Linked DNA regions of Diceros bicornis minor. The protein of the gene in region 4 purifies or fractionates together with the protein of the main gene of each other region. This does not show direct contact. Links are inferred from orthologs where the notes say so. Each region holds a gene or a part of one and is shown on either strand. Other genes may lie near its edges.

Region 1 (7,973 bases), on a different chromosome or scaffold from region 4:
TTTGCTATTCCCTCTGCCATAAAATATTCTATTTACTCACTAAGAATATTTTTTGCCTATAGTGCTTTCATAGAAAACTCTTCCCCAGATCTTTTAGTGCTTGCTTCTTAGCATTCATGTCTCTGCTCAATTATACCTCCCTAGAGCAGATTTCTGTCCACCTTGTCCAAAACAGCACTCCATCCCACGCTTTCAGTCACTCTCTATCCCTTCATCTTTAACTCCTACTATTCACTACCTAGGATTGCATTATTGATTTGTTTACTCATATATAGTCTGTCTCTCCTAGAACGTAAGCTCTGTGAGGATAAGGAGTTTGCCTGGCTGATTCAATACTGTAAAACCATCAATAGAAGAGTGCCAGGCACACAGTAGACCTTCAACAAATATTTACTAACAGAATGAAGGAATGGATGGATGAACGGAGTCAAAAGTTTTGGGCTTTTACCGTAGTTGTTTTCAGTAAACCATATATACCCAATACACAGGACAGAGACAAAGACAGTTACAAAGAAGCTAAAATATTTACTTCTATTTCATTTTTCTTTTCTTTTCTTTACCCTCTGTTGGAAGAACTGGTCACTAAAATGATGAAAAGGCAAGCAGCCTGCCAAAGCAAACAGTTTGGACAATCCAGTAAACAGGTAACCTGGCCTGGATTGAGGTCAGAATATACTTAAGTTTTCCAGAGGGTCTTAACTTTGTTGTTCCCTGTAAAGGATGACATTCCCACAAAGAGGCACACTCCTGGGGAAGGGGGGTACATAGGGGGCTGCGAATGTAAGGAGAAAGTCTACCCGAGTGGTTCTCAACTGGGGGCAAAATATCTACAATGCAGCTATTTGACAATATCTGGAGACATTCTGATGGTCAGGACTTGGGGGTAAGGGGCGGGACGAGGGTGATGATGCCAGTGGTATCTAGTGGGTAGAGGCCAAAGATGCTGCCAAACATCTCACCACGCACAGGACAGCCCCATGCAAGAATGAACTATCCACTCCAAAACGTCAATAGTGCCACTGTTAAGACATTTTGGTCTACCCTTTCCCCTTTACTAAAGAAAGTATATTAAATGCAAGCGATATTATTAGATACATAACCTTAAAAACACTTGAATTTAGAAAATTAAATCAATATGACTTTATTTAAATTGAGGTAACACTCGTATATAACATTATATAAATTTCAGGTATATATCATTATATTTCAATTTCTGTGTAGATTACATCATGTCCATCACCTAAAGACTAATTACCATCTCAGTATGACTTTATTTTTTTTTTTGAGGAAGATTGGCCCTGAGCTAACATCTGTTGCCAATCTTCCTCTTTTTCTTTTTTCTCCTCAAAGTCCCCGTACATAGTTGTATATCCTAGTTGTAGGTCCTTCTAGTTCTTCTACGTGGGAAGCTGCCTCAGCATGGCTTGATGAGCAGTGAGTAGGTCCCACGCCCAGGATCTGAACTGGTGAACCCAGGGCTGCCTAAGCAGAATGTGCGAACTTAACCACTACGTCACTGGGCTGGCCCCTCAGTATGACCTTAAATCTTTAGTTAGTAACAATCACGGGTGACACCAAGACTGCAACACATCAGTATGTCAAGTCCCTGCTGTTAAGAATCCCTGGTAAATCTTGGAGATAACAACACTTCACCTGGAAACTTGAGACCATCTCTAAAAACCAGATCAGTCAGAACTAACTCAACAAAATCAGAAAGCTATGTAGTCCCCTAGACTAGCCATTTAAAGATTGCACTCTGCCACTGTAATTTTAAGCACACAGTACCCACAACATCTCTGGTATTTTTCCTGTGTGTCTTTCTCAAATTCCACCTTTTCCACAAAACCTTTCCTCATAACCCTACTAATCTTTGTCACTGTGCCTCCCACCTGGAGAGCACTCAAACGTTTGCTGCCTGTAACATTTACTAATGGAAACTCTCCAGTTCATTCAGCTCACTTCATCTATTTCTTTTTGCACGTAAGTTAGTACTACACAAATAAGCATTTTGTGTTGTTCTTTGTTTCATATCTGTATGCCTTGTTACCACATCTTCCCTGCAGCCAAAGACTGTCAGATTTCCTTTTGCATACACACAAGCCCTGGGATAGCGCAAGGCACTCAAAAGTAATTCCCAAAAGAATTTTCTGATTAAAACATTTTTAGGATTCACAACTGTCGTCAACCAGGAAACGTACATGTGAGGAGAATGAGATGTGTTTAGGGAGCTCAAGCGGATGTCCTAAAATGATTCCTTTCTTTATAACCCTCTTTGACACACAACTTTTCCTGCTGCGTTCCCATGGAAAGTTTTTCTACTTAGATGGGGCAGCTAGGTCGCGGACTAGTGCAAGTTACGTAACTTCTTGGAATCTCCCAGTTAGGCAACTTTTTCTCAAAGGCAGGGACCACTTTACATGCAGTTACCGAGGCAACCGGGAACAGCAAAAATCTGAAGTGTTTCTACCTACGGAAGAAATTCTAAGGTTCAAAGTTGAAGTGCGGAGCAGCGGCGCGAATTAGTGGACAGCGGCCACTACTGTGGCTACTTGAAAATCTCTGTTCAGTGCCAGGCCCCCTTTTTTTTCAGGAAATCTTGTTTCGGGACAGAGACGGGAGAGAGACTTCGGCAGACAAACGGCCGGAAGACCGCTTCACTCCGCCCAGACAAACAAGCCACTGCCCTCCATACCCCATCGCGCCCACCCGAGCCGCGGACCCGAGGGAGCGCTCTCCACACCCCCAAGATGCTTAAGCCAAAAACACGTGGGACTCCTCGGCACCTGAGGCCACAGAACTCTTCGCCACGCCGCGGCTTTCGGCCCCATCGAGGGGGCGAACTCAACCCGGGAAGCCGCTCAGGAAAGACCCCAGCTTCGGCGAGGCCTAGTCGCCCCGGCGGCCGGCGGGAGGGCCTAGCCGTGATCTCGGCCAACGCTGCTCTGTGCCCCAGGCCGGGTCACCGCCCGGAGAGTGTGGGCAGAGAAAAGAAAAAGGTGGGTACTCCCAGACCCTTCCGTATCGAGGACCCGAATCAACAACCCACCTGGTGAGCGCCATCTTCTTCCGCTTCTTCCAGCGCGAGCGACAGCACCGCGGGGCGGGTCTTTCCCGGCGACAAGGAGGGGAAAGGAAGGCGCGCGCAACGCGCAGGCGCCGTAGACGAGGGCCTTCTGGGATTTGTAGTTCTTTGAACAAGAGACCTATTCGGTTCTCATCTAACGAGACCGAGCGGTTATAAAGGCATAAGCGCTTCGGTTAAGAAAAGCAAATGCATCGCTCGTACACTGTGACATGAGAGGGCGTTCCCTAGGCAAAATAAAGAAGTTGAGATGCTTTTTAAGCCGCTTTATTTTATTTCCCACTCAGTCTCGTTCTCCTTGTAGGAGTCTCAAATACAAGAGCCTTCCCGGGACGGCAACGTTATATAAAAGGGTGACAGGGTTTTAAAACAATAGGAAATCGTGAGACTGGCGAATGGAGAATTAATTCTTGGACGCTCTGAAAACATTCACACTCAAAACTTTTCTTTAAACGCTATCCCCTACCCCCTTACCTATCCCCCAAAACACTCTCCTGGGGAGGTATTGTGTGACCCTTAGTAAGTAGCCTTTAGTAGAACACTCCTCATGTGTATTATGTATGTATGTTTTTATGTGTATGTGTTTTAGATTGATTATGTGTTTTACATAGATTATGGATTAAACATAATCTTTGATGAAGTGATAGGATAAATGAAATCTGCTTCAAAATATTGGAGAGAGGGAAGTGGGAGGAGTACAGATGAAATGAAAATAGCCATGAGTTTTGATCATTGTTGAAACTGGATAATGGAGAAATGGATGTTCATTATACTATTCTCTCTACTTTTGTATATGTTTGAAATTTTCCCTGATAAAGAGTAGAAACAAACTTTTAATTGCAGTATAGCACACATATAGAAAGGTGCATACATTCTAAGTGTACAGCTCTTTGAATATTCCCAAGCCAAACACTTGTTTGAGCAGCAGAAGCACCCCCGACCCAGGATCATTTGATTTCTGGTGTGACAAGATGTTCTAGGCTCATCTAGTACTTTTTCTGCCTCAGACCTGGAATCAACCATTTCTCCAAGGAGCCCTCTTTTAAGTGGGAAAGTGATATTTAGAGAAAACAATCTGGATGCTACGAATGTTCATTGTAACTGAGTTGATTATTGTTTGCCTTTTCAGTGGATAGAGCTAAAAAATTCACATAAACATATTTTTTGAGAAAATGCATCATTCATTCATACTAATATATTCAATACAAATTTAGGATTACACAGATTTTACTTAAGTTTGATTTTATATGCATTTCTCTTCTGAAAATCTGGTCTAATGGTATTAACATAATTACTCATTTGCTTTATTCTACTATATATAAAATAGTATTCAGAATAACATTACTAATATGGTTACTAAACATATGCTTAGTGGTAATAGTTTCTGATTTTTTTTTTCAATTCTTTTTGTCATTAGGGTATCTCTCTCTAGGCATATATAGTCAAATTACATCGCTTTATAATTTTATTTATTTATTTATTTTTTCCCCCAAAGCCCCAGTAGATAGTTGTATGTCATAGCTGCATATCCTTCTAGTTGCTGTATGTGGGACGCGGCCTCAGCATGGCCGGAGAAGCGGTGCCTCAGTGCGCGCCCGGGATCCGAACCTGGGCCGCCAGCAGCGGAGCGCGCGCACTTAACCGCTAAGCCATGGGGCTGGCCCAAATTACATTGCTTTAAAGTGACTTAGAATAATTCCTCTGTGTGTGATTGTGCGGCTAACTTGATACCCAGTTAGTTTATTTATTTCATTTTGTTTTGGATTTTTAGTGGTTGCTTTTTTAAAAAAAATAGTTTTGTGAAACAGTTACGTGGTTTCAAAGCCAAAATTTACCAAACAGGTAGTGCATTTAGAGAAGTCTACATTCTTACCTTGTCTCTTCCATCCTTTTCCTTCCTTTCCCTGTAGATAACCTTTAAAAAAATATTTTTTATGGTTTATCCTTACATTTAAAAGTATACACAAATACATATATATTTGTATACTTCTCTTTCTTTTTTAGATAAATGGTAGATACCATACACACTTTTCTCCACCTTGCTTTTTTCTACTTATTAAAATACCTTGGAGATCACTCCTTTGCAGTATATAGAGATTATGTTGGAGATTTTGAGCAGAGAAGACACAAGATCTGACTTATATTTTAAGAAGGTCATTATGCGTGCTTTGTTAAAAATGGACTCCAAGAAGCAAGGGAGGAAATGGGGAGACCAGTTGGGTGGCTTTTGCAATAATTTAGGGGAGAGATGCTGATAGCTTAGGCAGGGAGTTAGTGGTAGAGATGGTAAGAAGAGATTGGAATCTGGATCTGTTTTGAAGGTATAACCAACAAATTTTGATGATGGTGTTGATGTGAAGTATGGAGGAGAGTAATCAAGGATGACTCCAAGGTTTTTCCCTGAGCAGTTAGAAGGATAGAGTTGCCATTTACTGAGATGGGAACACTGCAAGAGTGTCATGTTTGTGGGGAAACATCAGGAATTTGGTTTTGAACATGTTACATTTGAAATACTTATTAGATGGCCAAATAAATATGTCAAGTAGGCAGTTTATATGTAAGTTTGAAGTGTGGGGGGAAGTTCTGGGCTGGAGACCTTTGGAGGCAGATGGTATTTAAATTCATGGTACCAGATGAGATTACCCAGGAAAAGCGAGTGTAGGTACAGAAGAGAAGTGGTCCAAGGACAGGCTTCTAGAATGAACTCCAGTGTATAGAGGTTGGGGAGATGAGGAGGAACCGGGAAAGGAGACTGAGAAGGAATGGCCAGAGGTTTGATCAATGCAACCAGGAGAGAAAGCATCAGTCTCTCTTTTGGATCAGAAGCTGTACGTTTGTAGGCTTGAGTTACCAGTATCTATCTTTCCTGGCATTATAGCAAGAGCCTGTAACAGGGAAGAATAAAGCCACCATGCAAAAAGAAAGAGAAACCAGAAGGGTGAAGAGAAGGAGAGTAAGAGATTGACAGATGTTGAGATCTCTGACAATATTATGGGAGTTCCTGGGTCCAGCAGTGCCCGAAGACCACACCACCTTGAATCTTTTTTAATTAAGTGAGCCAATAAATGATTTTGTTGGCTTAAGCTAGTTTGAGTTGATTCTCTATCATTTGCAATGGAAAGGAATTTATACAGTGTTTATTTTCTGTGCTCCCATAAGACTTGTTCTTCCCGCATTCTTAACATTTATCACACTTTGTAGATTTTGATGGTTTACATGACTGCAAGGAAGATTGAATCTCTCTCACCATTGTATCCCTATCACCTTTGCCTGCACGATTTTGGTAAGTCCTCAACCCTCACTGGATTTCAGATTCCTTGTCTATAAAAGGACAGAATGGGCCCGGATAATATAAAAGATCCTTTCAAGTATCAAGATCCTTTGATTCTTGGTACTTTTGTCTACTTTTTCAACTTCTAGAGGTTTAAAAATTTGCTATTCCATGAACTATTGATAAACACAACAACTTAGACAAATCTCAAAGGCATCAAGCTGAGTGAAAGAAGCCAGTCTCAAAAGATTACATATTATGTGATTTCATTTATGACATTCTTGAAAAGATAAATCTATAGCGACAGAGAACAGATCAGTGTTGCCAGGGATTGGGGTGGAGGAAGTAATTGACCACCGTAAGGAAATTTTTTGGGGTGATGGAATTGTTCTGCATCCTGATTGTGATGATGATTACATGCATCTATACATGTGTTAAAATTTATAGAACTGTACACCAAAAAAGTCAGTTTTACTGTATGACAATTCAAAAAAATAAAATTTAGGGGCTGGCCCGAAGGTATAGTGGTTAAGTTTGCGCACTCTGCTTCAGCAGCTCGGGGTTTGCAAGTTTGGATACCGGGCATGGACCTACATGCCGCTCATCAAGCCATGCTGTGGCAGTGTCCCGTATACAAAGTAGAGGAAGACTGGCACAGATGTTAGCCCCGGGACCATCTTCCTCAAGCAAAAAGAGGAAGATTGGCAACAGATGTTAGCTCAAGGCCAATCTTCCTCACCAAAACAAAAAAAAAAGTTCTAAAAAATAAATAAAATTTAAAAAATGCCTGGTCTAGCTCTTACTAGCTCTACGGTTAGAAAGGCCTTCTTAGCCTCATTCTGCATCAGCAACATTTACTCTATGTTTGCTGTGATTCAGGGCACTCCTTGGATTCCTAGAGCCAGAGACGTGGTTTCATAAAATGTGTATTTTTAAGAAAAGTAATGGAATAGAAGATGTATTCATTTTCTATTGCTGTGTAACAAATGATCACAAACTTAGTGGCTTAAAACAACACCTATTTATCAGCTCACATTTTTGTAGGTCAGAAGGCTGGCACAGCATGACTGGGTTCTCTGTCCAGGGTATCAGAAGGCTGAAATTATAATGTTGGCCAGGCTGAATTCTCATCAGGCTGAGGCTCTGGAGAAAAATCCATCTCCCAGTTCATTCTTGTGGACAGAATTCAGATCCTTGCAGTTGTAGGTTTGAGGTCCCTGTTTTGTTGGATGCTGTCACAGGCCACTCCCAGGTCCTTCCCACGTGACCCCTGTAGGTTGTTCACACCATCGATGTTTGCTGTCTTCCAGGCCAACTGGGACACATCTCTCTGACTTTGTCTTCTGGTACCAGCCAGAGAAAACTCTCTGCTTTTAAAGGGCTCGTTAGTTAGGTCAGGCTCACCCAGATAATCTCCTTATCTTAAAGTCAACTGTGCTGTGTAACATAACACAATCAGGGGGACTGGTATCTCATCATATTCACAGCCCCAGGGATTATGCAGGGCTTGTACGCGGAGTGAGGGGGAGGGAGGAGACCCTCAGGGAGATCTTAGAATCCTGCCTGCCAGAAGATGTAAACCAAAAGAAAAAAAGCTGTTTTGGGGGCTGGCCCGGTGGC
Region 2 (8,091 bases), on a different chromosome or scaffold from region 4:
ACGAGAGGGAGACACCAGTGTGAGGGGCTGGGGAGGGGCAGGGAGCATCCAGCAGAAGAGCCTGCCCTTGATAAGAGGACACTGCCTCCTATGCCACAGCCTAGACCAGTATCAGTGATGCAGGCAGCATCTGAGTGACCCTGAATGCCAGTGCTGGCAGCCACTCCCGAGCTCCTAGCTCACGCCAAACACCAGGCACACAGACAGGAGTGGGAGCCAACTCTTTTCCATCCCCCTCGTCTTTAATTTACCAGCAAACCTCAGATGGCATGCTGTCACCTCACCAAAAGGGAATAATAATGCCTCTGCTGCTATTTATTGAATGTCCTCATTGTGTCAGGCACTGTCCCAGACAGTCCCTCAAGATGTATGCATTCATTTATTCATATTTTAGAGCACCTACTATGTACCAGGCGCTGCTCTCGTGCTGAGGACATATTGATGAATAAAACAAGTCCCTGACGTCACAAAGTTTATACTCTAATCTTATTCTGATTCTCCCAACACCCTAAGAGGTGGGCACTAATCCATGTCACACAGTCAGGAAAATCAAGACTGGGATATGAGGCACATGACCAAGGTCACACGGTAAGGGAGCAATGGAGCTATGCGTGAAACCCAGATCTGTGTGATTTCAACAACCGGGCTCCTCCTCTGCTATCATCCTACCCCTCAAAAAAGAAACTAATGCTCCATCCCTCCCACCCCCTAGTTCTAGTCCAGTGATCCATTCTCTTCGAGTAGGGAAGACATCAATTCTCATCCAGGGACTCACCCACTCATCCTGCAAGGCTTTCAGAATGGCTGGGATGCTGGTAGCTGAGGGAGGTTTGGGCCGGATGGGGTGAGCAACTGCCAAGAGAGGGAAAGCAGGTATGAAGATCCATAACCCGGGGACTCTTCCTCTCCACCACTCTTTTCTCTTTAGCCTGCATTAACACACAACCATCTCCTCCTCCAGTGCACTGGTACCACCTCCCACCCTCTCAGGCTCTGAGCTAAGATGGCCCTGGACTGAGGCCAGCCACTGGGCACCTTTGATGTCGATGAGCTGCTCCTCGGACAGAGGCTGGTTGTTGATGGGGTCTGTGCCATTCTCTGCAATATACTTCTCAATGAGCCGCCGCTCGTAGACATGGTGAGAGACAGGGGACACGCACGGGTGCTCTGGCACTTCATTGGAGACTGCAGAGAAAAGGCAGGCAGTGAGCAGGGGTGGTGAAAGGGACCTTGGGCCAAAGAGATGCCTCACTCACTACTGGCCCCCACAAGACCATGCATCCCCACACTCAACTCACAGGAATCAAGACATGACACCAAGCCAGTTTTGTCCTGTCTCCAGAATGCTTTCCAGCTACATAACTGGCTTCTCCATCAGTCTCCTGACACTCAGATAGTCAACAAGTAATTATTGCACAACAACTACGTACGAGACACCTAAAGAGCAGTCAATAACCCTGCCCATCTTGTTTTTGAACAAAGATGCTTAGTCACTCCTTATACTCCAGGACATGGAGATACACATGAAGCCACTCAAATCTCAGTCTAGAGCCTAGATGGATTATTAGACAAAGAAATTACAAAGCAATATGACAAGTGCTATAAGAATAAAAAACATTTACATGGTGTTTACTAGGTACCAAGCACGATTGGAAACACTTTCCAGAGATTTAATTCATCCTCACCACAACCCCCAACAGAGGTATCATTTACACGCCTGCCTCAGTAGACTGTGCACCCCTGAGCATAGGGATTACAGCTGGTCTCTGACTTCCAGGACAATGCAGATGCCCAGCAGGCACTGGGTTAACATCTAACATGAGCGAATGAGAGGAAGGATGGTGGTGGGGAACACAGAAGAGAGGTTCTTCAAGATACAAAAGAAACAATGAATGGGACAATACTGTGCAACCTGTAATTTTTTCAATGTGAAGGTTCCTCTTTCTAGACATCATTTTCCTTCCTTCCTTATTCCCTCCCTTTTTTTTGATTTATGGAGAGGTTCTGAGAAGAGTCAAGGGCTTGACAATTAGGACGCAAATAGAGAAAAGGATGAGAGACCAGTCACGGGATGAAACAATAACGGAAAACATCTCTATGCCACAATAAAATACCAAAAGGAAAGACAGTACAAGGCATGAAAAAAGCACGGATTCAGGGTCAGAGAACCCAGCTCCATCACCCAGCTCTGCCAATTACTAGCTGTGCAGCTTTAGATAAGCCACACTCTCCTGGAGCCTTACACCCTCATCTGTAAACCCGGCCGGGACCTTTATTCCTGCTTTGGAGAATTCTTGGGAGGATAAAATGAGATCACCGACTTGGAAGTGCGTTGTAAACCAATAAAGGCTTCATAAATGCACGCTGTTTTTATTAGTCGTGCAAGATGAGGTTGGGAGCCGGAGACCTGGCTTCCAGCCCTGTCACTGCCTCCATCTCACTGCGTGACCTTGGCAATCTGCAGAAGCTCTGACTCCAGGGCGGGACCTCAGACAACATCCAGTGCAAAGCCCTCATTTTGCAAATGGGGTAACTGAGGCCCAGAGGCTTAAGCCAGGTCACAAAGCCAATCTGAGGCGGCTCCTGCACCAGCCTTCGGGTTCCCCGATTCCTGCACCAGCTCCCCCCGTCCAGGCCCCAGTCCCCACTACGTAAACGAGGTGGCTGGCCCCAGGGATGCCTGCGACCATAAACTTGAGGCGTTACGTAAACTGTGAAGCGCTGCGCAAACGCACCCCCAGCTGAGGGGGAGGAGAAGGACCCCCGTGCTGACAGGCCGCCGCCCGGCCTCCCGGGAGCCCTGCTTTCACCTCCGCCCCGACCCCAGATCCTCCCGCTCGGCTCTCCGGCCTCCTGCGACCCGCGATCGGCCGCCGCCGATACTCACTCGAGCAGATCAGGGACATGGCGCCGTCGCCGCGCTCCGAGGCGCCTCGCACCGAGCTCCGGGATTAGCTTCTGAGCCGCCGCGGGCCACTTCCGGTTCCCGGCGGCTTCCGGAACGCTCCGCGGCGAGCGGGGAGCGACCCGCCGAGCGATGCTCGCGTCGCGCTTCACGTGGGACTGCGGCCGGTCGCGCGCCTCAGCCTCCAGCACCTAACGGAAACTGCCCTTTCCCAGAATGCAACCGTGCAGGAAAGGGCCCGCCAGGGAGCACTCGTCTATTTCCGGACTGACTCGGCTCCTTCCGTAAAGCGGTCCCGCGGCGAGGGGAGAGGCGAGCCGAAACTACATTTCCCATGATGCAGTTGGAATTTAAAGCCAAAGCAATGCAGCAACGCTTTTCTGAGACTGGCCCTCTGCCGGGCCATGGGATCGTACGGAGTCTTGCAGTCTTTGGTGTGCGTGAGAATTTACTAACGAACTTGTTAAAATGCGTATTCCTGGGCCTGCCTTGGAAAGTCTGCATTTTCAGTGCATGCCCCATGTGATTCTGAGACAGGTGTTTCTCGGACTACCCAGGGACACTGCTGGGTGACACGGTGAAGAAAGTACAGATGCAGACAGGTAGAGAAACTAACACGGGTCAAGAAACTGTTCTGGTCCTGCGTTTACTACCAATTTGCTCTGTGATCTTGGGCAAGTCATCAGCTTCTCTGCCCCTTTCCTACATGGCTTCTAGGTCCTTTCCAGCTCAGATCGTGTGGGATTCTTTGTGGATATCTATAAGTGATAAATAAATGGCAAGCAATAGGATATATTGGAGCATATGAGGAAGCCATTTGGTGTAAAACTAATTAGGCCTGAGTTTGTTTTCCCAAAAGGGCCTGTCACCATTAAACATGCATTGTGTATCTGCTTTACCATGTCCCAAAGAGAAGAGTAAATGTCCTTAAGATAAGGATGCAACGTCCCCCACATTGGCATTTCCTTAAGGATAAGCATTTCTCCTTAGGCTAGGATTTGATTGCTGCACTCATCCTGTGACCACCCAACTTGAGAACAGACCTGCATCCAGCCACGCCCATCGAGACAGCAGACCTGCCACGCTCTGTGTCCATCAATAGCTATTCTGGCAGGGCAATCTGACACGGCGATCTTGTGGCTATTGTAAAAGGGACATTGCAATCATATGTGATATGTGCTCTTTGACAGTATATAACTGCTCTGTACACCCCACTTCTCTGGTGCCCCTCCTTCCTTGGGGAAGGAAGGTCCCAGGCTATGGTCCTCAAAAGTTGGCTCGTAATAAACCCACCCCAATTTTGATTTATAGATTGATTACGGATTATTTACGTCGACAAAGATAAGATACTTTCAGGAATCATGTACAGAACATGTGGTGTGGGATCCAGACAAAGCAGCAGGAGAGACAGGTGTGGTCAGTGAAGTCTTCTTCACTGGAGAGGTGTGAACGAGCTGGACTTTGACAGATGGGCAATATTCAGATAGAAGAGAAGGAGACTAGAGGGCAGCTCAAGAGCAGGTACAGCATAAGCAAAAGCTTGGAGAGAAGAAGAAAAGTTGCAGGTATGAAAGGCAGACAGCATAGTGGCCAAAGGCGTGGACTCTAAAGTCGGATTGTGTTCTAACCCCAGCTCCACTCAGCTAGTAAGCTGTGTGAACTTCTCTGCCTTAATTTCCTCATCTGTAAAATGGAGGGAGTGATAACAAGGGTTGAATTAACTCACAGGGTTGTTGTGAGGAGTTAATGTTTAAAAAAATGCTTTGAACTAAGCCTGACACATAGTAAGTACAATATAAATATTCATGTTTGTTATCATTATCCCTAAAGCCAAGCAAGATTGTCCAAACTACTATCATCTCTCCCCTGCACCAATAAAATAGCATCCTAATTGGTCTTCTTGATCCCAGCCTGGCCCCCTTCTAATCCACTTTCCTCAGAAGAGCCAGTGATCTACTTTCAATGAAAACTCTATTCCCGATACTCCCCAGGCTTTTCATTCATTCAGCAAATACTGGTTGGGTGCCTCCTAGGTGCCAGGCCGTGTTCTGATAACTGGAGATACAAATGATGAACAAGAAAGACAAGGTTTCTGCTCTCTTGGTGCTTACATTGGGTTTGGGGGGTGGGGCAGCATAGACAATCAGCACATAAGAAGAAAATTCCAGAGAGTAAGTGCTAAGAATAAAACAAATCAGAGTAAGGTGGATAGGATGGATCAGAGGGATGGACTATTTTAGGCAGGATATTCAGGGAGGGCATCTCCGAGGAGGTGACACTTTTGCTGAGACCTGAATGAGGGAGAGTGGTTCTGGCAGAGGAAACTCACCCCCACGTCCTGCACCATCTGGCCCATTCTGACCCTCACAGTCTCACCTCAACTTCTCTCCTGCCATACTGGCCTTTTAAGTCCTCAAACTTACCCACTCTGGCTGGTTCCAGTATTTTTGTCTGGAACACTTTCCCCAACTCCCTCTTTTCTTCTCCTCCCCTCCCATCCCCTCCAATGTAAACACCAGTCTCGCCTTAAATGGCACTTCCTCTGGCGCGTTTTTCTTGACCCCTGACTGAAGTTTGGTCCCCACAGCACGCTGTAATTCTCCTCTGGGCCACTCTGGATAACTAGAATCATTTAATTATTTACAAGTATCTGTTCGATGTCTGGGTTCTCCATTCAACTGTAAACTCCATGATGGCAGAACCATAGTTGTTCTAGCCACTGTTGTTTCTGAGAGTCTAACATGGTGCCTGACACATAGCAGGAACTTCATAACTATTGTTGGTTGGATGACAGGCTGCCTGACAGGCCAGGCGTCTTCCGTACTTGGACATGGTAGGAAATAAAATGGATCCATTTACGTGGAGCCTTGAAGCAGAGGTGGTTAGACTTGATTGGGCTGGCAGCAGAAGAGCAGTTGAGCTATGGAGAGATAACCACACATCCAGAAGATTCCTCTGGAAGACACTCACTGGATGGGTTGGAGGACAGACTGGAAGGAGAGAGATGCAGTGGTTCATTTATTGGACAAATATTTATTGAGTGCCCATTGTGTGCCAGTAAGGCACTGTACTAGGCATTGGGGATTCCACTGTGAGCAAAACCAGAGGAGTCCCTATACTGGGGAGCTTATGGCTGTGACAGAAGAATGGAGGAAAAAGGGAGTCCTTTCAAGCCTTCTGAGTTTCAAAGCCAGCCCCTCATGGAATAGAAAGGATTCAGGGCGACTGATTTTGGAGTAAATATTAAACAGGTAAGAACTCAATCTCAAGCCAGGGCCAGCCCCGCGGCTTAGTGGTTAAGTGCGCGCGCTCTGCTACTGGCGGCACCGGGTTCGGATCCCAGGCACGCACCCGATGCTGAGGCCGCGTCCCACATACAGCAACTAGAAGGATGTGCAACTATGACATACAACTATCTACTGGGGCTTTGGGGAAAAAAAAAAGGAGGAGGATTGGCAATAGATGTTAGCTCACAGCCAGTCTTCCTCAGCAAAAAGAGGAGGATTAGCATGGATGTTAGCTCAGGGCTGATCTTCCTCACACACACACAAAAAAAAACCTCAATCTCAGATTTCTCCCAGTCTCCCCCTAGAAGAGATAAAGATTCCCTAGGCTGGGAAAGGAGACATAGGGGATAGCTGTTGGTGGGTCCCCAAGAAAGGAACTCTATGCCCTTCTCCCCCCCGCCAAGGCTGCTGCTGCTTGGGAAGCAAGGGGACACATTGGCCAATAACCCAGAAGAAGCTCTGTTTCCCAGGAAGATTAAATGGCAACCTGTGTGGACAAGTGACGGAGGATCAGGCAGGACGATATAGCTCAAACAACTGACACTGAGGATTCAATGAATTCCCACCCCCACAACCTTGGCCCTAATTAATTTTCCAAAAAGTGTGTACAAGCTGAAAATCAAGGGTAGGAAGAACCCTGAACTATCTGAGGAAGAACCCTGAACTATCTGAGATTGTTTCTACAACACTTAGATGGAAAACAGAGTTGAACAGAAATGAACTCCTTATAGGAAAAAAAGAAAATTATGTTTCTTGCACAGGGAAGTCTGTGATTTGAGATTGGTAGTTCTACAAATCACAAATCTCACAAGCAAATGTAAAGTTGCAACTGTTAGAAAGACTGGAAAGTGAGGCTCAGAATGCTACCAGAGCCTGTTCTGGAACAGAGACCCTTCGCTGATGCAGGAAGTGATGAGGGTCCAGAGGAGGATGGATGTGTCTGAGAAACATCTGAAGGAAAGGAACAACTGGAAGAGGTGACAGACTGGATGCTACTAGAGTGTGTAGTCTGGGAAGAAGGCAGAATTAGAAGGCTGATTCAGGAAGCGGGGGACAAAAGAGTTCCGCTTTAGAGTGTTGGGTTTCAGGAACTGTTTTAACATCAAAGGGGCAGCCTCCCTATGGCAGTCAATGTGATCAAAGCATTCCCAAAGCATCTTGGATGTTTTTTTAAAATGTTCACTCTCGTTATTTCATGAATCTCCACACCTACAGTGGAGCGAAATGGTATTTTTAGAACTTTATAATACTTTATAGTAAAGTTGAAATAACTGAGACCCAGAGAGATGAAGCGGGATGCCTAGAATCACAAAGCAGGCAAGGGATCACCTTTTGCCAAGTCCCTGGTCGTTCCCCCTCGTACTGCTTGCTGCCTTTTTATAGAAATGGGGTCTGGGAGTTGGTTCCTTTTCTTTAAAATTGAGTGAACGTTTGGGAGCTATCTGCAGAGTGCTGGTGTGGAATTGCTCTCAGAAGGAGCAGATGCATTTTCCCAGCGTTGTGTGCCTCTAACTTCTTCTCTAACACCTTTTTCCTTTGTGCCTTTTTAGCGCGAAAAGTTTCTCAAAACACCAGGTGCCCTCTGGCGCCTCTTCGTTAGAACTACATTTCCCACAATGCCCCTGGAGGCATCTGTAGCTCGAGAACTACATTGCCCGAAATGCCGAGGGCCTGAAGAGGCGGATAGGCTTCGATCCCAAATTCAAAGATCCAGTTTACGCACTTTACAGCCCAGCTATACAGTAGTCACTTCTTCTCCTTTCCTGCCAGAGACTTTCGTTCCCAGCTCGAAATTCCGATCTCACTCTTCTCTCGGAAGGAATGCTTGGGGGAAAAAAACGTAATCGAGAAAGTACGGCGCATGCGCCCACTGCCGCGGTCTGAACCGTGGAGGAGGCC
Region 3 (7,817 bases), on a different chromosome or scaffold from region 4:
CTAAAGCCGCCTCACACTTCTGTCTTACTCATCTCATGGCTCCCCCAACCTTAGAACCTTTCAGCTGCTCCTGCTCTTGAGTGCCTGATCTCTCCACATTTTCAGGGTCATAATTCTGAGACAGAGAGAAAAACTGACTGACTCAACTCATCTTTTTGATCCAGTTCAGGTCGTAGGATGCCGGTCAGCCTATGGTTTGTCCGCTCTGGGGTCTGGTACCTACTTCTAGTGCAATCAGTTTGGACTGGGATGGAGACTGGAGTCACATGGTATAAAACATGGTCACTATGGTTGCTCTTTTAGGTGGTGCTGTGGGTGAGGCTATCTCCTTAGAAGATGCCTCCACGATAGGCATGTGTAGCTCAGGTCGCGTCCAAGCGTCATGTCGTCAGGCTAGTCAGTCCCACTTCCTTGCCCTCCTGGGAAGGCATCTTTCCCTCCTGCTTCCCTCCAGTCCTCTAAGCCTAGACTTGGCTAGTCCACCAAGGACAGCATCTGCAGCCACCGATTTGGACATTGGTCAAAGAAGGGAGGGAAGGGCCGGGAGTCAGCGTAAATGAGCTTTTACAAGCTTGTGACTAACCGGCTGTGAGATCTGGGTGGGGCCCTTCAGTTCCTCCCCTCCACTTTCCTGTCCGTGTGATGGGACTCTTCAGTGCCTCCCGCCAGCCTCACAGAGGAGACCGTGCAGACAGGGTTGGCTGTCCACCCAACAGTCATTCCACTAGCTCCATCTCCTCTTCCTTGCAGACGATCTGCGATTGGGTTTGGATGCTCAGGAAAGTAGCAAAGTGGTCCCGTCACAGCCCCAGAGGCACATGTGCATGTTCAGGCCTGCCATGGTAATTCCATTCTCCTTGCCTGCGATGGCTTCAACTTGACAATGGACATATGATGCCGCCTTGGCTAATGTATCAGCTGAAGGAGGAAGGGTTTCTGGGACAGTTTTGTGGAGGAACTTCCCTTTTGACTCTAGGACCAGGGACTTTTTGCAGTCTCTGAAGGGAATAGGCTTATCCTTTGGGAGTTACAGGAAAGCATATTTTGTTCCAAGTTGGAACAGGTGGCTTTCATTGAAGTAGGGATATGAAAAAGATGAAGGGCCTTCAGCAGGGATGATGCCGGGATTCCTGCCCTGGGCTAGGAAGTGGGAATTAAACAGGAGGAGGTTGAGTTAGAAGACCTCTAAGTCACATCCTGCCATGAGCAAGCAGAATTGTGTGATAAGTTTTCTCTAGACTTAGCCTTTTTATCATGTTAGATGAAACTGGTCTAGTTTAATAGGAGCGGCCAAACTTTCGCCCCATTTTGGCACTCAAATATTGACCCTGTTTCTACTTCCTTTGCCCATTGGTCCAAGATCTCACTCCCCTACACCATTCCTCTTTAATAACCAGTCAGACACCTGGAGGCCTGGTTTAAAAGGGCAGCTTTTCTGTGGTTGGCCTGCCCTCTGCTGGATTAAGGAGATGGACTGCAGAGACGTGGACTTCTGGGAAGGGCCAGTTTTCCTGAAAGGGGATGTGATCAGGAGAACTGATTTCTCTTGAGGTCACTCTAGATCATTCGTTTGCCAGAAATTAGATCTAGGAGGCTGTGACCCAGCCTCTGAAGTGGGGGTGGGAAGCTTCCTGATGAAAACAGCTGCCTGGTTAGAGGTCAGAAGTTGGCTGTGTTGTGTGCCCACCCGCCTGAGTTTCTTAATCCACATATGGATGGAGAGATGAGATAGACCTCATTTGTCTAGTGTTAAAGACAAAATTTCTCAGACAAATTGATCTTTAGCAATTGTCAAAGTTTATCAACTTACTAATAAAGGATCAGCAAGATGACAAAGCATACGCTTTGGGGATGGAAAGGATATGGAAATTGATGGGTTATATAGTTGGGATACAGAAAACATATAAGCAGCTAGTTTAGGGGGGGAAAAAAACCTCCCTAGCTAGGTAAAGATTGCAGTTTCATGACATATAGTAACAAAAATGTCATAGTCAAGTCCGTTATTAGAGAAGAGACATGGATGAGAAGGGGTTTGCGATGCCAGGGGCATTGACTGTCAATCAGAGATTAAAAATTCAATACATCTAAGAAGCAAAGGATGAGGATGCATATGTGGCTGCTAACTGTAATCATAAAGTTTCATTTCTCAAGAATCATGTCTGATGATCTGATTGTCATGGATGCATAAACCACAGACACAGCCGCAAATAACAAGTTCTGACTTGAAACAGGCCACTTGGCACCGGGGATTTTCTCAAGCAGCAAGCAATGCAGATAGGATACAGTTTACACCCACCCCCAGCCCCTACCCTTGCCTCACACACCTTTTCTTCTTTAGTTTAGAGGCAATTTTTTTCCTCTGAAATTAGAACGATCAGAGTTTGAATTTTTTCACATCAATTAATTTTTCAGATAACTGACTTTTGAGTGTTTAAGTACTGTAACTTTTCTTCTTGAAAGTTTTAAAAAAGATTTTTATTTTTACATGCTTATGAAAAAAATTTTAATGATGCAGAAAACTGAAGAGAATAAAATGTTAGTCCAAATCTTATCACACAGCTGATGTTAGGTGAATATCATCCAAAGAGCCTTTACGTATACGTACAGCAGCAGACTAGATAGATGGATAGATAGAACAGGCTTATGATACTTTTTCTGAAAATCTTGAGGCTCAACATGTTTTGGAATTTGGATTTTTTTATATTTTGGTATGATAATTTGGTATATATGCTGTATATCTTATAATATCTTCCAGCAGGATCTAGGCAGTACTCCATAATTAAATATATTAACATTTCTGTGTATGAATATTCACACTAAGAGATGTTTAAAAGACTGCAAATAGCCTCTCTTGAATTCAGGACAGATTTCGCTGCTAAAAGACTTATAAAATATCTTTAATTTTCACAGCTTTTTAGATTTCAGAATTGCAGGTAAGGAATTGCGGACCTGTGCCTTCATAAAATAGGATAATATAATACATGCTATTTTTTTGGAGAAAAAGTAATCAATTTAATTGTACCTGTAACTGACTGAATAAAAAGAAACTGAAGTGAAACCAAAGGAACTGCACACTTTACATAATGTTTCTTTAACACAAGAGATATTATTTTCTAAAATGTCTTTCTAAGGTTAAAGAAAGAAGGAAAATTAATAAGAGATTGGAGTCCTTACATTGGAATCATTTCTGATGGAGATCTTCCCAACGCGTTCTCAGTTCTATTAGGCTCAAGGCCTTCCAAATATTTTGTAACATTCTGTTTGGTATCTTGAAATTTATAGATAATAGAATCTATTCACACAGAAAATGAAAAAAAAAAAAGTAATGCCCAATATATAGGAAAAGTAAAAAGAAATTAATCTGTTAGAAAATATAGTGACATGTATTTCAATATTTAAATCCTTGGGCATTACTACTAAAGACATCATGAAGCAATGAGATGCTTGCATCTATGTACAATGAACAAGTTTGGATTTAATAGGAGTCATAAGAAGAGAAGCCATTCCATTCAAAATGAAAGCAGAGGTGTGGTGGACACTGGAATGAAAACTGGTGTTAAGAAATTACAGATAAGACATTTGTATAAGTGATATAAGGAAGTGACCTTAATTGAAGTAAGAATAACATAAGTACCAGGTAGAGAAAATGAAGGCATATGCTGTTGTTGGAAATGAGCTGAGTCTTATTTTCAAGGAAGATGTTATAATAATTTTCTATGTTGTGTAATGTGATGGGATAGTGAAAGAATATCTCAGAAATCAGACACCCATCTAGATATCTCACCCACGCTGGAGCAAACATTTAGGCTCTTAAGACCTTTGAGATCTTGGAGACCATGACCTGCAAGAGTTGACGGGAAATAGAGAAAGATTTGAAAAAAAAAGCAGTCTTTAGGAGGCTACAGAGAAGTGGTGTGGCAGACGTTTGGGGACATATCAGATAAGACTAAAAGCCAACAGGAAATCTCCAAATCATTTCAATACGTAACTTTCCCAGCATAGATTTCTTATCATTGTGCTGCAAATATTTAAAAAAATTTATACAGAATGGCAATACAATATTTTTAAAATAGCTTTTATGAAATTCATTGATAGCTCTACATTTCACTTGTCTCTACTAATTTAGTAACGTATGGTTTAAAGTCTATTAAAGGGAGTCTCAAGCCTCCCTGTACACATTTGCATTTGGTTTCATTGTTTTTCCAGTAATCGAACCCACTGCTGTGAAACTCTTTCCAACTAAATACTTAGTTGGAAATGCTATAAGTAATTTAGCTCTTTACAAGAAGTGGGTATGCAAATCCTAACTGGGCCCCAAACTTTCATAACTAGATTGATTAAACTGTGTTTTGGCTTCAAACTTTTTTATTAATTTATTTATTTAAACTCAATGAACTCTTCCTGCACGTGTTGGCTAGCGGTCCATTGCTTTCGAATGTATTAGTCTCCCAGTCGGGTATTGTAAATTCAATCCTATCTTTAAATCTAATCAACTAATTACATCAAATAAAAGCAAAATTTCCAAACCAGCGCAAGCAGAAGTCTCCCCCCAGCGAGGAGTCTGGAGACTTCTCCGGAGCAGGCACATGGACTCGACTTCCGGCGGCCCCTCGAGGCTCCGCCCCTCACGTACGCCACGCCCCCTTCCGTACACAGCGCCTCCAGAGCAGGCGTCGGGCGTCGAGCGGAAGTGACTTAGGCGGCTGCCGGAGGTGTCGTTGGTGTGTTGCGCTCCTGGGCCTGAGAGTCGAGTGGGGCCTGCGCCTGGGAAGACAGCGCAATGTCGATCGAAATCGAGTCCTCGGAGTGAGTCCTGCGGTGGCGGGTGTTCGCGGAGTGGCGGGGCCGGGAGGGTGGGGGGCGGGGTGGAAGGGGCCCCGGGGGAGGCGTCCGAGAGGCTGGGGGGTGGAGCAGCATCGCCTTGCGCGCAGAGAAGCTGCTTGGATCTGGCTATCTCGGAGGCGGCCCCGTGGGAAAGTAGCGGAGCAGAAGCCCAAAGCCCCGGGGGAGGGCGCGGGGCGGGGGGAGGACGCGCATTGACTCCCGGCGCGCAGTGACTGAGCGAATTACCCATCCACTCTGGACTCCAGGCCCAAGGGGGCTTGGACTCTGAGCCTTCTTTCCCTCCCCGCCCCCCTTAAGCAGTGTGCTTCGTTTCCTCCTCTGTGCTTGCACGGCCCCTCTGCCTTCTTCCGCCCAGCACTTAGCCGGTATTGTCGCTGTCTGCCCACCCTGCCAGCCCGTGTAGGCGCCTAGGGGCTCCTTTTCATTATGGTCTCGGTGCCGAGCACACCGTAGAGGCTCCATTACTGCCTTTGGAGTGCGTGAACCACTAGCTGTTTTATCAGGCTCTGTCTGGCGCTGAAGTTTGGTTAGTGTGTGAGCTCTGTGTAGCTACAAAGGAGAGACAGAATCTGGAGATTGGGCCAGAAGAAGGGTAGATTTGGTAGGGTGGGGGACTAATGAGTGACTGAAGAAGGTCTTCAGTGAACTTCTCTAGGACTCCACCCTCCACCTTGCCCTTGCCAACACTTAATTAAATCAGCAGACAACGTTTGTGTCCTGGGTGCCAGCGAGGGAGAGGACTTGTCCTGAAGATCTGCCAGAGGAGGAAGCGAAGTTTATTCATTCAACAAATATTGAAGTCTGCTATGTACTGTTCTAGATCTTGGGGATACAGTAGTGAACAAAACAGACAACACTCCTTGCCCGTATAGAAAGTACGCTGTGATTGGGGAAGGCAAACAACAGACAAAAACAATAAGTGAAATATGAGGCTTAACAGATGGTGATAAGTGTGGTGGAGAAAAATAAAGCAAAGAAGGGTGATAGAGAGTGCTGGTGATGAAGACAACTAAGTCAGGGCGGGAGTTGGAAAAGGATCCCACGCTTTGGGGCTTGAATAACAATAGACACCGACCATTCTCCCAGCCTCGGGCTGCTGCATGCTTTTATTATCAATAATAGCTACAATTTGCTAAGTATTTTCTATGCTAGTCACACTATACGCAGTATAGTTAACCCTTTCACCAGCCCTACAGGAAAGGTATTTTTCTTAACAAATGAGGAAACAGGCATGGAGAGGTTAACTGACTTGCCCAGGGCCACAGTTAGTAACTGATGGAACTCTTATTCAAACCTCAGCCTATCTCAGAAGCTTGTAGCTCTTTATGTATTACATTGTGTTTGAAGGAAGTGAATTTGATTTTGGCCGTGTCAAAGATGAGGTCTTTGTAGAGAGGGTGTCTCATTTGGGGAGTGTAAATGGAAGTGTGCAGAGGAAGATAGTATGGTACTAGAATAGCAGGGATCTAAGCCTGGGTATCTTAAAGGGGCTGTGAGAGAAAAGATTACAGACTACAGTAATCAGTTCCCTTCTGCGGGAGTTTTTAAGAAGAGGGTGTTGTGGCTTTCCTGGCAGGAATCTATGCTCAAGAGCCACCTGCCAGCTTGAATCTTCATTTTTCCGCTTATCTCTGTTACTCGGTCAAATCCTCATCTGTAAAATGGACGTAATAGTGATACCTACTTCATAGGGTTGTTTTGAGGAGTAAATGAATCAATATGTCTCACACGCTTAGAACCGTACCTGGTATGTAGTAAACACATAGTAAACATTGGTTATTGTTTTTTGGTTATTATTTCTCCCCTGGGAAAGGGAATTGATTAAATTTCAGTCTGAAATCCCTTCCAACCAGAACAGTCTGACCCTCTGTACTAGTGCCATCCAAGAGAAATGCAGTGTGAGCCACACATACATTTAAGGAAAGAGAAGGAAAACTGTATCACAGCAGCGTACAGTGAACTTTTACAGTCTATATGAACAGATTCTTCACCAGACTTCTTGATATTAAGCCCAAGATCAAGAAATTTTAACTATATATATTTAACTATGAATAACTTACAAGTTTTCTGTCACGTGTTGAAAATGGTTGCTTATCCTCTCAATATTTGGAGATTGTCTGGGTCCTCTTTTCCTTAGAAAACTGAATCCACAATGTTTTTATTTCACTTGTTCTGAAAATTGGGTAATAAAGCTAGTGGGTAAGTGTTATTTTTGTGAATGAGGACACACAGTTTTGTTTTGCTTTTGTGTACAGTATAGCTCTACTTATTTGTGTTTAAGAAAATCTCAACTCATGTTTTTTGATTGTCGCTTTAAAAATGGAGGAAATCAACAATCATTTAGAGTATTCTGTGTCAATGACTAGATCAGGTTTAAAATATTTCACTAAAGTGTGCAACAATATAATCATAAATTAATAAGAAACTTGGCAAAATAAAAAAATCTCTGGCCTTGGAAGTAAGAGAGTCACCTTGGTACCAACTCCCTGTCTAGCTAACTGTGAGAATGGGCAAATTATTCCCCCTCTCTGAACCCCACTGCTCCTGTTTCTCAGCTGGAAGTAGGACTGGATGATCCTCAAGGTCCCTTGTAACTTAGATTCTGTGAGTTTTGGGAAAGTTGTATTCGCATGATAATGAAATGGAAAGTAGGTAGTGAGAGGAGGATGGTTGAGTAGGAGAGGTAAGCTGGAGTGGGCTTATTTTGTGGCCTCTTTGGTGAGTAAGGATCCCTGAGCCGGCTGACTTGTTTTCTTCTTTCAGTGTGATCCGTCTCATCATGCAGTACCTGAAAGAGAACAGTTTACATCGGGCGTTGGCCACGTTACAGGAAGAGACTACTGTGTCTCTGAATACCGTGGACAGCATTGAGAGTTTTGTGGCCGACATTAATAGTGGCCATTGGGATACTGTTTTACAGGCTATACAGTCTCTGAAATTGCCAGACAAAACCCTCATTGACCTCTATGAAC
Region 4 (7,961 bases):
CTTTCTTTCTTTCTTTCTTTTTTTTGAGGAAGATTGGTCCTGAGCTAACATTTGTTGCCAATCTTCTTTTTCTTTTTTCTCTCCAAAGCCCCAGTACATAGCTGTATATCTTAGTTGTAGGTCCTTCTGGTTCTTCTGTGTGGGACGCCACCTCAACATGGCTTGATGAACGGTGAGTAGGTCGGCACCTGGGATCCCAACTGGCGAACCACAGGCGTCCGAAGCAGAACTCGTGAACTTAGCAGATACACCACAAGGCCAGCCCCAAGGGCTTCCTTTTCTTGAAGTTCTTTCCTGTGGGTCTCTCCCAACCTTTCCATCTATTCCTTCCATGGCTTTTTCTGGCCTCCTGTCCAAGACTGTGTGTGTCTCAAGCCTTCCTCATCCGCTTTTCTGTTATTCTTTCTTCTGTGAACTGATCCTTTCTCATGGCTCTAGTATCAACTTTGATCTGATGATTCAATCTCTCCTAGACTGCCGCTTGTGTATTTCTAGCCAGAGGACTCCCTCATTTGTATGACCCACAGTTACCTCCAAGTCCAATTTTAAACTCCTCAAGGAATGAGGAGACTGATTTAGGTGAATGAGTGGTCCATAATAACGGCAGCTAGTATTTTCTGTTCAGGTCTGTTCCTGGCTTGGTCACTTTCCTACTCAACAGAGCTTCCTCAGATTAACACAGACAGACTATATTTGACCAGTTAAGAGACCTTAAATAAGAGAAGTTCTTAATTTTTTAAGTCTTAGTCTCTTCATTTGTAGATTATTTCATTTGCACAAGTGTTTTCCAGCTTTAAAAGAAAAAGCTTGGAATTCATTGTTAAATAGGTCAAATCATGGGCAAAAGTCTTGGAATTCAACACCAGCTTTTAATTTGGCCCAAATTTTTGCATCCAACATCATCTATGCTTCTTAGCATGAGCATAGAAGATGATATGGCTATATGATTAAGAATCTGAGCTCGAGACGCATTATTTACTGTCTCCATTATTTACTGTCTGTAGGAACTTGAGCAAATGGGTCAGCTCCTCTGCACTTCAGTTTCTTTGTCTATAAAATAAGGCTAATAATAGCACCTACCTCATTGGATTATTGTGACAGTTAAATGAACTAATGAATATAAAGTTGTTAGAGGGCCGGCCCCCTGGCTTAGCAGTTAAGTGTGCGCGCTCCGCTGCTGGCGGCCCGGGTTCAGATCCCGGGTGTGCACCAACACACCGCTTCTCCGGCCATGCTGAGGCCGTGTCCCACATACAGCAACTAGAAGGATGTGCAGCTATGACATACAACTATCTACTGGGGCTTTGGGGGGAAAAAATAAATAAATAAAATCTTTAAAGTTGTTAGACAGAACCTGACACATAGTTTGTGTAATTAATCATGTGACCCAAGGCAGATGACTCAACCTTTCTGAGGCTGAGTGTCTCATCAGTAAAATGGGGATAATAATAACACCTATCTTGTAAAGCTGTTTTGAGGATTAAATTAGCTTATTTATTTATTAACTCTTCATTTTGAAACAATTTTAGGCTCATGTGGAAGTTGCAAAAATAGCACAGAGCATAAAAATAAACATATAGATCATTGGGATAGAGTTGAGAGTCCAGAAACAAATAAATGGTCAGTTTATTTTTGACAAAGTGTCCAAGACCATTCAAAGGGGAAAGAATAGTCTTTTAAACAAACGGTGCTGGGACAACTGGATATCCACATGCAGAAGAATTAATTTGGACCCCTATTTCACACCATACATAGAAATTAAATCAATATGAATCATAGACCTACATGTAAGAGCCAAAACTATAAAACTCTTAGAGGAGCGCCGGCCCAGTGGCTTAGCAGTTAAGTGCGAGCGCTCTGCTGCTGGTGGCCCAGGTTTGGATCCCAGGCGCACACTGACGCTCGCTTGTCTGGCCATGCTGAAGCTGCGTCCCACGTACAGCAACTAGAAGGATGTGCAACTATGACATACAACTATCACAAACATACAACAACAACAACAAAAAACAAAAAAATAACTCTTAGAGGAAAATGTAGGAGCATATCTTTGTGACTTGGGTTAGGCAATGATTTCTAAGATTTGATACCAAATCTTAAGCAATAGAAGAGAAGATTTGATAAGTTGGGTTTAATTAAAAACTTTTGTGCTTCAAAGAACACCATAAAGAAAGTGAAAAGATAACTCAAAGAATGGGAGAAAAATTTTGCATATCATATATATGACAGGGAACTTGTATCTAGACTATATAAAGAACTCCTACAACTCAACAATGAAAAGACAACCCAATGTTAAAATGGGCAAAGGACTTGAAAACATATTTCTCCAAGGAAGATATGTACGTATATATATAGATAATATATATGTAGTATTTTATTACAACAAGGATGAATCTCAAAATCATTATGCTAAGTAAAAGAAGCCAGTCACAAAAGACCACTATTCTATGATACCATTTATATGAAACGTCCAGATCAGGCAAATCTATAGAGACAGAAAGTAGATTAGTGGTTGCCTAGGACTGAGGAGTAGGAGGTGGGAGGAAACGGGGAGTGAGTGTTAACGGGTACAAATTTTCTTTTCGGGATGATGAGAATGTGGAACTAGATAATGATGATAATTGCATGACTCTATAAATATACTAAAAATCATTGGATTGTATACTTTAAACAGGTGAACTTTATGAAATGCAAATTATATCTCAATAATGTTGTTTAGAAAATAGTAAAGAGATTTCCTGTATACTCTTCACCCACTTAAGAATTTCTTTTCTTTTTTTTTTTTTTTGTGAGGAAGATCAGCCCTGAGCTCATCCATGCCAATCCTTCTCCTTTTGCTGAGGAAGACCGGCCCTCAGCTAACATCTATTGCCAATCCTCCTCCTTTTTTTTTCTTCCCTTTTTCTCCCCAAAGCTCCGGCAGATAGTTGTATGTCATAGTTGCACATCCTTCTAGTTGCTGTATGTGGGACGCTGCCTCAGCATGGCCAGACAAGCGAGCGTCGGTGCGCGCCTGGGATCCGAACCTGGGCTGCCAGTAGCAGAGTGCATGCACTCAACCGCTAAGCCAGGGGCTGGCCCAAGAATTTCTTACATGACAATAGTAGGACAATAAAAACCAGAAAAATGACATTGGTACAATACTATTAAGGAAGCTATAGAGAATATTAAGATTTTACCAGAGTTTATAACAATATCTGGCACATAGTGAAGCTTACGCAGGTGGTAAGGACTTCACTACAATGACGATGATGAACATAATGATGATAATGTACATAATAATGATGATGCTGGACTTTCTACTGTAGCCAGATTGATCGGCTGCTGTTTTAGAGCATGCCATGTTCGTTTCTCTTTCTAAACTCTAACTGTAGCAGTTTCCACCACCTGGGATTCTTTTTTCCTTACTCTTTCCTTATCCCATCAAATCCTTCACATCCACGCATCTCCACCAAATCTTTTTTTTTTTTTTGTGAGGAATATCAGCCCTGAGCTAACATCCATGCTAATCCTCTTCTTTTTGCTGAGGAAGACCAGCTCTGAGCTAACATCTGTTGCCAATCCTGCTCCTTTTTTTTCCCCAAAGCCCCAGTAGATAGTTGTATGTCATAGTTGCACATCTTTCTAGTGGCTGTATGTGGCCTCAGCATGGCCGGAGAAGTGGTGCGTCGGGTGCGCGTCTGGGATCCGAACCCGGGGCCACCAGTAGCGGAGCACACGCAATTAACCGCTAAGCCACAGGGCCGGCCCTCCATCAAATCTTTAAAAGGCAAAAGATTTATTCCATCTGAAGAGAAAAAGACGCATCATCAAATCTTTAATAATGCTCCTCTCCCTCCTTTGAACTGTAGAAGCCTCCATACCAGCCAGCACTTGCCTGGACTCTCCTTTGCATTTTCCTCTAGTTATTTCACCTATGAATCCTGAATTCCCAACTAAACTGAGAGGCTATATGGGTTTCATTTCCTCTGCACCTTCCACAATAAACTTGGTGTGAATTCAAAAAAATTTATCCTTAAACTAGATTCAAAGTTGTTACCAAAGGATAGAGCAAGAGAGAAAACAAGGATGGCAGGAGATGGAGAGCAATTCAGGCAGTAAGACAGGCAGAGCCTGAGGGAGTCAAGAAGCATTTATAGGGTGTCTACTATACACTCCATAGTGTAATCATTGCCAGAGAGAGAAAAGAGGAACGGAGGAGAGGAAAAAGACACCCAGCAATGTTGTTCCCCAAGGCCTCTTTTATTTTTCTAGGTTCATTGACTAACTCTTCCTTGACTTCGCAGGCAGGATTAAAATGCTCTGCCCCTGAACTCCTGTACAGGGAGTTCACGCGGCACTGTAGGAACCTGGGTTTTTGCCTGCCTTCCCGCTACCCTGTGAGCTCCGTAATGTTGGCTTTTTCCCTGCTGTATTCCCAATCTCTGATACATAGCGGACGCTCAATAAATGATGGTTGAATGAACGAATGAATGAATGCATGAACAAAGGACTGATTGACTCAGAGCTACTATTGTACCCCAAGTCTGCATTTATGAGACTAGACACAGAATAATGTGCAAATTTTGACAAATTTATTAAAAATCTGGAAGCCTGGGTCTTTGACTGTCCGACGCCAGTCACGGATAACAGTGCGAGGTCGCCTAGAGACCGGAGACAGCCCCTGAAACGCGGGAGGCGGAGCTTACGGCTCCTCCGACCACACCCCTTCGCGTTCAAATCTTTCCGCCTATGGACCCGCCCCCTTCAGCCCGAAATGCAACTCTAATTGGTGAGCTCTGTAATCCATCTGAGCTCTTCGACGTCTATTGGATCCACTACTGAACTCCGGTTGCGCACTTCCCGGTGTTGGGAACGCAGAGCGGACGTAGGCTTGCCGCCATTGCGCTGCGGGGAAATCGGCCGACGGTGTGAGGGGCTTTGGGGGTGCGTGAGGGGCTTCAAGGGCCGGGCTGCGGGGGGCGTGGTTGGATCGGGCTGAGTGGCCCGAGGGATTGGGCAGTACGCACTCTGAGCGAGGCGGGACTGCAGGCCGGGGTTCTCGACGTGTTCCTGCTGCGCCTCTTGTAGGCCCGGGCCTTGTGGCTTGTTAATTTTTCCCTTCCGCCGCCCCCCAGATTCTCCGGGCATGGCCGGAGTATTTCCATACCGAGGGCCGGGTAACCCGGTGCCCGGCCCTCTAGCCCCGCTGCCAGACTACATGTCGGAGGAGAAGCTGCAGGAGAAAGGTGAAGAACGCGTGCAGGCCTGGCTACTTGGGGGCGGGTGTGCGCGTGCGCGCAGCGGGTTTGAACCCTTTCCCCGTTTTGGCAAGTGTCAAAACGTTAGGTGTCAGTTCCCTTATTAGCCCCATTTATTTTTTCGTCTGATCAAGTCTTTAAAAGCGTCTGTTATTTGCAGGCACTGATCCAACCAATGGGGATACAATAGTGATGAAGACAAACTCCTGCCCTGATAAGGTTTAAATTGCAGTGAGGGAAATAGACAATAAAAACTTAAAAAAAAAAATCTGTAACAAAAACGTCAGGCAGTGATAAATGTGATGAAGGAAAAAATAAAGCGGAGTGAAATGACGAGAATTGGCAGGGAGCACTCCAGCTGTACGCACAGCTCTCCCTCATCCAGACAGGAGCTTACCCTAGGGCAAGAGGTGGGAATGATTAGGCCAAGGGTGTGCAGTCCTTTAAACTGAGGTGTCTTTGTAGCCCGCAAATGGCAGCAATTGCAAGCCAAGCGCTATGCAGAAAAGCGGAAGTTCGGATTTGTGGATGCTCAGAAGGAAGACATGCCCCCAGAGCATGTCAGGAAGATCATTCGAGACCATGGAGACATGACCAACAGGAAGTTTCGCCATGACAAAAGGGTCTACTTGGGGTAAGGAGCATCCTGGAATTATTTCATTTGGAGCTTGGCCCCTTTCCCTTCTCCCTATCTCATAGGTCACAGTCCTGGATAGCTGCTCTGTCATTTTGGGACAGGCATCTTCTGTGACAGCCCATCTTGGTGGTTATAAGAGAAGAGGGAAAACCACTAGAATTCTGTGATAATTTCCAGATCTTCCAGTTATATTCTTTATTGCCCTAATTTTTCTTCTTGGTCTGGGACTGGAGCTTAATTTGTCCTGTTGGTGCTATGGTAAGATGTTCCTATTTTTGAATGGATTGGAGCCCAGAGCAGGACACTTTGTACATTCTTGTTGCCTGTAACTCCTCAGTGACCAGAATTCTGAGGTTCCGGATGTTTAACTCCTGAGGTGTCTATAATCTTGTTTTTCTCTGTCCCCAAGCTGATTGAGTATAGGTACAAATGCCTTAGCAAATCCCTTTTCTGTTTGGACACAAAAATGTTAGCCACTTAATGAGCTGGTCTAAGACAGACATGGAAGTTTTGTTTATTTCAAAAAAAAAGAAAAAAAAAGTGTATATATATGTTTTTTGAGAACTGTGCTAGGTGCTAGGGATATAGCAGTGAACAGGAAGTAATGGCCTTTTTGGAGCTTACGGTCTAGTGGCATGACAGATATGAGACAAATGGTTACAATAAAGTATGGTAAATATTGTATTATTATTTATGGGACGGTACAGAGAGAATAGAATGTGTGACAGCCTAAAAGCTGTCTTTAGAGGGACAGCTGTTGATTTAGAGGGACTGAAACCCAGTATTTTGGGACTGTGAAGTTTAAGAAGAAGAGTGACATAATTGGAGAGGGAGAGGCAGAGTTGCCGATCATGGCGGGCCTGTCTATGTTTGGGAGTTTGGACTTTGAGGCAGGGTTTTCCGTGGAATGTGATACTATGGTACCGTGTGGCTTCTGTGCACGGCACAGGTAACAGCTAACACTTTGTCATTTCTAATCATCTCTCTTCCTAACGTTGCAGTGCCCTAAAGTACATGCCCCATGCAGTCCTCAAGCTCCTGGAGAACATGCCTATGCCTTGGGAACAGATTCGAGATGTGCCTGTGCTGTACCACATTACTGGAGCCATTTCCTTTGTCAATGAGATTCCCTGGGTCATTGAGCCTGTCTACATCTCTCAGTGGGGGTGAGATAGTGCTGGAATATAACCATGTGTGGTGGTGGTGGTTGTGGGGCAGTGGGTAGAAACCATTGTGTGACATTGTTGGCTTCCAGGTCAATGTGGATCATGATGCGTCGAGAAAAAAGAGACAGGAGGCATTTCAAGAGGATGCGTTTCCCCCCTTTTGATGATGAAGAGCCGCCTTTGGACTATGCCGACAACATCCTAGATGTTGAGCCTTTGGAGGCCATTCAGCTAGAGTTGGACCCTGAGGAGGATGCCCCTGTGTTGGACTGGTTCTATGACCACCAGCCACTGAGGGACAGCCGGAAGTGAGTGACAGTTGGAGTTAACACTCCTGTGGGAGTTTTGGAAATCCACAAGGAGTTCTGGGAGAACAACGGGTAGTGTGGCTTGGCTAGCTGGTATACCTCCCTGATGCGGGCTCTTCTTTTTTTTCCTAGGTATGTGAATGGCTCCACTTACCAGCGCTGGCAGTTCACGCTGCCCATGATGTCCACTCTCTACCGCCTGGCCAATCAGCTCCTTACAGACTTGGTGGATGACAACTACTTCTATCTGTTTGACCTGAAGGCGTTTTTTACCTCTAAAGCACTCAATATGGCCATTCCTGGAGGCCCCAAATTTGAACCTCTTGTTCGAGATATCAACCTACAGTAAGTTGGAGAGAATAGGGATTTTAGGCACCTTGGGTTGAATAAAATCTACTCTTGATCCTTAAGATCTCCTTGTAGCTTCCAAACTCTCCAACTAGTCTGCTCATCCTTGATTTTGTACCGTAGGGATGAAGACTGGAATGAGTTTAATGATATTAACAAGATCATCATCCGGCAGCCTATCCGCACTGAATACAAGATTGCTTTTCCTTACTTGTACAACAACCTTCCACACCATGTCCACCTCACCTGGTGAGAGAGCTAGAAC

The links.
Region 1: the proteins of PRPF8 (region 4) and SNW1 purify together in Homo sapiens (affinity purification with mass spectrometry; 5 studies listed by BioGRID and IntAct, with this or other methods). This does not show direct contact. The link is inferred for Diceros bicornis minor from reciprocal best matches to the Homo sapiens genes PRPF8 and SNW1.
Region 2: the proteins of PRPF8 (region 4) and PRPF19 purify together in Homo sapiens (affinity purification with mass spectrometry; 5 studies listed by BioGRID and IntAct, with this or other methods). This does not show direct contact. The link is inferred for Diceros bicornis minor from reciprocal best matches to the Homo sapiens genes PRPF8 and PRPF19.
Region 3: the proteins of PRPF8 (region 4) and SMU1 purify together in Homo sapiens (affinity purification with mass spectrometry; 3 studies listed by BioGRID, with this or other methods). This does not show direct contact. The link is inferred for Diceros bicornis minor from reciprocal best matches to the Homo sapiens genes PRPF8 and SMU1.

Annotation. Positions count from the first base shown.
Region 1 is NC_080763.1:25,536,464-25,544,436, forward strand, and holds the start of SNW1 (SNW domain-containing protein 1), read right to left. Parts: upstream 3,118-7,973; 5' UTR 3,061-3,117; coding exon 3,047-3,060; intron 2,997-3,046; coding exon of another isoform or gene 2,748-2,996; exon of another isoform or gene 2,454-2,747; intron 1-2,453. Other genes in the region: ADCK1 (aarF domain-containing protein kinase 1), read left to right, coding at 2,748-2,996, 6,284-6,365. UniProt on the Homo sapiens protein: Involved in pre-mRNA splicing as component of the spliceosome. As a component of the minor spliceosome, involved in the splicing of U12-type introns in pre-mRNAs.
Region 2 is NC_080770.1:12,513,277-12,521,367, reverse strand, and holds the start of PRPF19 (pre-mRNA-processing factor 19), read right to left. Parts: upstream 3,080-8,091; 5' UTR 2,907-3,079; coding exon 2,888-2,906; intron 1,186-2,887; coding exon 1,036-1,185; intron 853-1,035; coding exon 776-852; intron 1-775. UniProt on the Homo sapiens protein: Ubiquitin-protein ligase which is a core component of several complexes mainly involved pre-mRNA splicing and DNA repair. Required for pre-mRNA splicing as component of the spliceosome.
Region 3 is NC_080761.1:53,144,727-53,152,543, reverse strand, and holds the start of SMU1 (WD40 repeat-containing protein SMU1), read left to right. Parts: upstream 1-4,704; 5' UTR 4,705-4,780; coding exon 4,781-4,806; intron 4,807-7,608; coding exon 7,609-7,817. UniProt on the Homo sapiens protein: Involved in pre-mRNA splicing as a component of the spliceosome. Regulates alternative splicing of the HSPG2 pre-mRNA. Required for normal accumulation of IK.
Region 4 is NC_080757.1:16,064,553-16,072,513, forward strand, and holds the start of PRPF8 (pre-mRNA-processing-splicing factor 8), read left to right. Parts: upstream 1-4,872; 5' UTR 4,873-4,923; intron 4,924-5,114; 5' UTR 5,115-5,125; coding exon 5,126-5,225; intron 5,226-5,702; coding exon 5,703-5,871; intron 5,872-6,875; coding exon 6,876-7,040; intron 7,041-7,129; coding exon 7,130-7,348; intron 7,349-7,480; coding exon 7,481-7,693; intron 7,694-7,819; coding exon 7,820-7,945; intron 7,946-7,961. UniProt on the Homo sapiens protein: Plays a role in pre-mRNA splicing as core component of precatalytic, catalytic and postcatalytic spliceosomal complexes, both of the predominant U2-type spliceosome and the minor U12-type spliceosome.